2 linked regions of the Arabidopsis thaliana genome follow. The protein of the gene in region 2 interacts with the protein of the main gene of each other region in a pairwise test. Each region holds a gene or a part of one and is shown on either strand. Other genes may lie near its edges.

The links. Proteins that work in one complex are often made in the same cells at the same time.
Region 1: the proteins of AT3G53310 (region 2) and HAT9 interact in binary tests that used the Arabidopsis thaliana proteins (3 or more experiments, as listed by UniProt).

Annotation. Positions count from the first base shown.
Region 1 is NC_003071.7:9,704,602-9,708,357, forward strand, and holds HAT9 (Homeobox-leucine zipper protein family), read right to left. Parts: upstream 1,617-3,756; 5' UTR 1,448-1,616; coding exon 1,037-1,447; intron 933-1,036; coding exon 853-932; intron 682-852; coding exon 348-681; 3' UTR 31-347; downstream 1-30. UniProt on the Arabidopsis thaliana protein: Probable transcription factor.
Region 2 is NC_003074.8:19,766,739-19,770,494, forward strand, and holds the start of AT3G53310 (AP2/B3-like transcriptional factor family protein), read right to left. Parts: upstream 2,049-3,756; 5' UTR 1,631-2,048; coding exon 1,559-1,630; intron 1,159-1,558; coding exon 705-1,158; intron 622-704; coding exon 542-621; intron 444-541; coding exon 189-443; 3' UTR 1-188. Other genes in the region: AT3G53320 (mediator of RNA polymerase II transcription subunit-like protein), read right to left, coding at 2,659-2,847, 2,996-3,627, 3,709-3,756.

The sequences.
Region 1 (3,756 bases), on a different chromosome or scaffold from region 2:
TTAGTATGCATGAAAAATTCCCATGTATAATTATATTGTTAAATAGTTTTTCATTTATTACAAACATGATTTACTTGACTAAAATTGAAGGTGAGAAAATAAGATGTATAAATTAAAGTGAAGACTATTTTACCTTTTTCTACAAATAAAATAATAATTACAAACTATTCTTTTTCTCAAACCAGCAATCCCACTGAAAAACAAAGTGGGAATTGTAGAAGAGACCATCTATACGCATCTTACCCTTTCTAACATAGTTTTTGTGTTCTTCCTACTAGTTAAAATGCCACCCAAAAAAAAAAGAAAATTAATATTTTAAGTAATAAAATTAAACGAATTACTACTATTCAACAAGCTGCAGATGGGTTAGTAAAAGGGTTGAAGAAGTGAGGCTTTGAGGAGATAGAGAAAGCTCCTTTGGCCGTACTTCCATCTACAATCACCGCGGTAGCCCCGCTGCCGCCACCTCCTCCTCCATTACCCCCGCCGCCGCCGCCGATTCTCTCACAAGAAGGACACTTCGTTAGAGTCGATGCAGGCATGTGCATGTAAAAGGGCTGAGTCAATTTTAGGGTTTTGAGTTCTTGAATCTCTTTCTGAAGTCTTATGTTCTCATCTGCTAATGTTTCACAACACTTCTTCAAAAACTCACAATCTACTTCTGTTTGCTTCAGCTTTGTCCTGCTCATTCATTAAATAAAATAAATAATTAAATATATATAACCGAAAGAAAAATCATATCACCTAAAAAATAGAAAATATTTTCACCTACAAAATTTTCTGACTATTAAAGAAATTTTGACACATGAAAAAATCAAATATTCTGATAATTTATAATATAATTTTTTTTACCTGGCTCTTCTATTTTGAAACCATACTTCAACTTGTCTAGGCCTTAGATTCAGCTGTCTAGCCAGAACTTGCTTTTGTTTCTGTAAATAAAATATAACAACAAAGAATCTGATTGGATAAGAATTATCAAAAGTGATTAGTAACGTATAATAAAAAAGAATTAGGATTAAGGATATGTAGTTACGGGATTAAGGGTGCTATGATCCTTGAAGCTTTCCTCAAGAAGAGCAGATTGTTGTTTCGTAAGCCTAAGTTTTTTTCTAGCACTAATACCTTCTTCATCTTCATGGTAATCACTTATAACTCTCTCCGTCATCTCTTCCTCCTCCGGCGACTCTTCGCCACCGTCTCTCTCTCTTTTCACCACCCTCCCGCTTGAGAAAGAAGAGACTCCGCTGTGAGATGACGTCTGACGGCATAGCTGGTCAGCTCCGGTCACCACGGTAACCGAGGGATCGCCCGAGAGGCATAGAGTCAACGACGGCTCGAGCTTGTAAACGGAGGATTGTCTGATGGTACTATTGTAATTATTTGGAATTGGTGAGGGACCTAATCCAAGAACAAGACCTGTGTTGCATGTATCATCAAAACCCATCTGAGTCGAAATGAAAAAAATATGCCTTTAAAATTTATCTATCTTTGAGATTTCGAGAGGAAAAGGAAATGAGTTTAGAAGATAATGGGAGGAGATGAAGCCAATGGGGCTTCTTAAGAAGGAGAAGAAAAGTATTTTTTTTATTTTATATTTTTAAGAAATTGATGGGTGGGTGGATGGCTAATAGTTATTAATCAAAGGAATGATTTATATTATTTTAAAGAAATGATTTTATTTTCTTGGTAATTCTTTTCCTGAAAGAAAAAAAAAATAATGTGGGAAATTATGATGGCACAATTCTCTCTACTTTTATTTTTCTTACTTGCAAAGGTTGACCAAATGAGCATCTCACTTGGCACTTGCTACTATTCTTCCCACTAATAAGAGAAAAGTTCCCGAAAAAGTTCAATGATTTTATATTTGGTAGAAGATGGAATTATCGTATCATGAATATAAATTAAATATTATATTTAAAGCTTTCTCCATTCTTTTTCTGGTATCATTGGGTTCAGTCGGCATCGGTATTTTAGATTTTTATATCATGAATATTTTTATCATGAAGCGTACGTTATTGTAGACAAAAAAAAAAAAAAGAGACGAAATTAGTATGAATAGTAATTAGAAAGTGATTAAGAGGTGCCTTTAAATAACGGACCACAAGACAGTTTTACTTTTACCCACTAATTTTCAGCCTCCTTTTCCTTATCATAGAAACACATTGGCCCTTGATGTTTTATTCATTTATTTAATTATGTATTATATATTTTAGTTATTTTTTTTCTTCGTATACATATGGATAGTGATCCCCACCATCTTGTTTAGGTTTGGTTCTCTTGATGTCATTCACCAATTAATTTAGTACTTTTTGGAAAGAGTTAGGCTTAGGCATATACTTTATTTTCGAAATTTTTTAAACAAGGTGATTCATCCGTACCAATAACTCGTTACATCCATAATTAGTCTCGAGCTTTAACTCACAGTTATCTATATAGATTACAAAGTATTTCCTAGAGTTTTATAATATATCATATCGCGCTTTCTCTTTCAAGATAAACTGATGTACCAATAAAACATATAAGAGAAAAAAGGAAGTAAAATCATTTTGAAACTAAAGTGTACGAATATATTTATATATTAGGGTAAAATACTAAAATAAGAACAACTATATATATAAATGTCACTATACCATGATAACAAATGTTACTGATTTATACCATGCATGGTGTTAAAAGCCGGAATTCAAACTATTATATTTTGAGCAGTCATTACATCACAAATTAAGACTCGGTCAAGCTATATCGCTAGATATAATCAAAAGTCTTAAGTCCGTAGTTAGGTTTATTTTACCCGATTTTTATTCAAATTGCAATATGTGGTCGAAACAGTTGTAAAAAATGGGTGCTCACCTTTTAAATCACTTTTTGTTTGGTTACCTGACGTAACATTAGAATTATCAAGAGAACACACAAAGGAGAAGTACAATAAAAGTGGGTAGAAACTAAAAAAATGATATGGGTGAATACGATTCGTCAACAATAACCTAAAATCTTTGGAGTAATGGATTAAGAAAGTTTATGTGTAACGTTTCATTAGGTTTGGTCTCAGCTTTGTTATTTGTTTTGGCACTTCCCAATAATGAATTTGTCGGCTATACTCGTCCAAGTAAAGTTTTTTTTTTTTTTTGTCGACCGTCCAAGTAAAGTTAGGTTACCCATCTTATACATATTATTATTATCATTATTTTTAATCCTTAATTATTTTTTCATTTATAATCTACTCTTATATATATATATGTATATATATATATATCTTTCTTATTTTTTAATTAATGCATTTTCTTAACGAAATTCTGTTTTACCCCCTAATTCTGCTAGTAGCACACACACGATATTAATGCTTCAATCAATGAAAAATACCAATTATAACTTAATGTGATTTTTCAGTTCATATCATTGTATAACATTTGACTTTTTCTAGGTACGACGAGTTATCAATATGCTAGGAAATTAAGAATGATGAAAGTTCGTGGATAATCTTATATTAATTATAAATTGATTTTTTTTTGAGGAATATTAATTAAATTGATAAAAAGTAGAATAGTTCATCAATTTTAACTATAAACTTTAATATGGTGTCGCACCGTGGAATTGGTGCTCATTGCTACTTGATTAGACTATTTTTCTAATAGAATATTAGTATAATCTGACTTTGACATTGTGCAAATATTCATGAATTTAGCTCACATTATGTATATAATATAGAAATATATATTTGTATTTGTCAACAATATTTTATTTTCTTGTAAGCCA
Region 2 (3,756 bases):
TTGGGGATGAAGAAGGTACTACTAAGATAAAGCCTAAGAAGAAACATAAGAACACTCCTAAACAAACAAAAGCCATAATAAGAAGTCATGTCAAAGTACTGATGATAATGATAATAGTGATCGCGATGATGAGAACGGCGATAGTGATAGACTGAGAGTGATGGTGGTGGTGGTGAATGGTGAGAGGATCAAGCATCTCTACGCAAGACATGGACTCGGATGGAATGAACCATCTTCTGGTCATCATGAAGAAGCTCGCATTCGACAGTATCTTGGTGCTTTTTGAGCCTGTTCCTTCTGCAAATCCTGTCCCATCCTTTGAAGCAAACCCTCTTATCAGCCCATTTTCCTCTTAGCCCTACTAAGGTTCCTTCTCCATCGATGTACTTGATGGATGAACCAAATTCAAGGTTATTATCCTTCACCACATTGGCTGGGATCAACTACACACAAAACAAAATCACCGCAACATGTTAAAGCCATACTGAAAGTAAAACAGAGATAGTAACTGAATCTGAAGTCTTATATTCGTCACTTTTACCAGTTCATAAATCCTGTTCTTGAGCGTAGTCGGAAAGTGTGGATTAGTTAAAGCTTCCACGTCCAAGTTCCCTTCAAAAACTGAAACAAAACAATCTTTAGTATATTAGATTGTGTTTTTGGATTAACAATGTTTATGTACTTTTGAAAAAAGACTATCAAACCTGCAGCATCGGTTGCAGTCTCTTCGTCAATCGGATAAAGACTCTGGCTGATTTCTTCATCTTCATCAAAGCTACCATCATCATCTTCATCTTCATCTTCATCTTCATCATCATCATCTTCAACAACATCAGTTGAGTCTTTTTCGTCTTCCACAACAGAATCAGAATCAGAATCAGAAAGTGGTATGGCTTGTATTTCAGCTCTGACCTCTTTGCTACCCCAACGATCAAAGACACTCACTTCAAAGGTACGATGACCATCATACACAAATGTCATGAACTCTCCGTTCTTCAGCTCATGTTCCTCTGCGAATTTTGGCCATCCTCTAGTAAGATACGCAGCTCCGCTTATTTTCTTCAAGCTCACAGTCCAAAGTTTTCCTCCAAGACCTTGGAGCTTCACTGTCTTTGGCAATGGATCAGCAAGAAATGCCATAAAAGGCAACGGAATCATCTGATGAACCAAACACAAATGTCAAACATCAGATTACTTGTTACAACTTAAAACAAAACTCAACTCAACTCCACAAGTAAAATGTCATCAAAGTCATAGAGTCTCTCTGTTTCAAGCTAAGCAGTCACAGTTTTGACCTATGCTTTATTGAACGAGATACAAAGACACAGATCCAGAGTTTTTCATCACTTCCAATTTCACAGCTCGTTTTCTCATTTCCGTTTAGAAGCAGAAGAAAGATTGAAAACCCGTAAACCCAACCCCAACTGCTAAACTAGCTAAAGATTATATCTTTCTCATAAAGCCATAACTTTCATACTAATACTTGAGATTCAAAGTCTGAAACTTTTCCTACTACAGAAACAAGGAAGAAGAAAGAAAGAGAGAGAGAGGTTCTTACCAACGATTCAGAAGCCGATTCAACGAGGAACACTTTGAAGAAACGAGGATACAATTCGCTATCGTCAGCCATGGAATGATGTTGGAAACGAGAGAGAGAGAGAGAATCGAAATGGGTTTCTTAGCTAGTGAGAGGAAGATAACGTTGAAGGTTCAGAGTTTAAAGGAGAAAGAGAGAGAGAAATGAGTCAAAGAAGACCTCTGCTGCGTTCTTGTACAAAACAGAGTACTGTACTATCTCAAAGCTTTATGATTTTTGCAGTTTAACCCATAAATTCTAGTAAAAAAGAAAAGAGAAGCTGATTTCTAATTGGTGCTTGACTTCTGAAACTTGTTTTCGATCGGTACTTACGAATCAGAGACTATTTCCATCTCTTTCCTCTGTTTTTTGTTTTTTCATTTCTTTTTTTTCTTCCTCATTTTCATCTTCGTTTAACAAAAATAACTCTTATCGTTGTTAAATTGACAAAAAACAATAAACCAAAATGTTATTCAAGACCTCTTTAAGTTTTTAAAGTGAAGCTAATATTTTCAAACGTTTACAAATGCTTTTTAGATAAATAATTATTTATCTAACAAACACACAAATACTCTTGCATCTATACAAATGACACAGAAAATGCATGCATGTGAGGAATTCAATATTCTAATACAGTAAATAAGAGAAATAATTATCAAAAAGAAAAACGAAGTTTGCGTGTTCTTCTGTTTATAGATTTGAATGAAACATCATTCTCTGCAAGCCAGGGATTGGTTCTGTTTTCTATGGTGAGATTGTAGCCCACTCTATCCACTGTTGCGTTCATATATCTTTCACTTCATGTTCTTATTATATACTTCATTGGACTGTTTTGTTTTCAGATTTAAACCATTTACATTTCGATTAGAAAGAGTATCTTATAAACCAGATTAATTCGTAAAATTTCATAATACAAGAACTCGTTAGATTAAAGATTCTTTACGCACAAATTTATAATGTGCTTCCTTTTTCTGGAGGATGGGATACATAAGAATCTAACATGCAGAGAAATTCCTATTTGTAAAAAAGAAAGCTCCATTGCATGGAGAAAACTATTGATAACTTCAAGCATCTCATTCTCATCATCCCTCAAGTTGATCTTCTGCATCGATTTTGGAATACAATTTGTTCGGCAGTTTAGGAGACGAGACAGAGACAACCTTTGAACTTGCCTTACTTTTTGAATTCGTCGACTCTTGTATTGGAGACCTCGCAGGTTGAGTCTTTCCTCCAGACTTCTTACTGGCAGATGAAGATGATCCATGTCTTGCCTGTTTAACAAAGAGAGAAAGAAATAGAGACATCATTTACTTGATCAGATTCCAGACAGAAACAGATCTTGTGCCAGTTGGTTCCAATCTCAAGGAACAACAATTGCATATTTGGTCTCTAGTTTGTTCATGAATTTTGGGGACTTACTCCATCAAAGAAGCCGATTTTTGGTGATGGCACACGGAGACCTGATGGTTTTGCGGAAGCTGAAGGAACCAAACCACCGTTGATAGCTGAAACTCGTTTTGTGCCTTCCTTAGCATCAGCTTGGACAACAGATGTATCTTTGGAGTTCTTGAGAGGTTTCACAGTTTGTACTGTATTATCATTTGCAGGAACCTTTTCACGAGAGACTGTTTTCTGGTTACCATTAGCCATTTTACTAGTTTCAGAAGCTCGTGATGACTCTGATGAATAGTCACTGATCGAACCAGCAGTTGGTACACTGGAGGAAAGCTTGGGCTTGGATGTCTTATTGGTTTGTTGGGGTGGGATTCTTGGCTGGCCCATAATACCTCTAGATGTAGATCGATTTGCCAATGGCTGGGAAGATAATCTGGAACTTGAATCATTCTTCTTCTTTATCGAATCTATAGAAGGTTTGTGAGAAGCGCTAGATGAAGCACTGGCACAGCTCTCTAGTGAAGAACATGAAGAGGTCATTTCATTCTTTGAGGCATCTGAAGAACGTGAAGAAGACTTAAAAGGCACACCAGGTTTTGGTAAGACGGGTTTAGCACGTCGCGACATGGATATTCTTGGACCCAGAGGCTCTTTACCTGTACTATTCAAGGTCATACAATATATTTCAATTTTAAAAAAACAAGTGTAAACTTCTTTAAGAACAAGTTCTGACTAACCCGCAGGTAATTTGGAATTCTTTTCTTGTTGCGTTTTGCTTATATCTA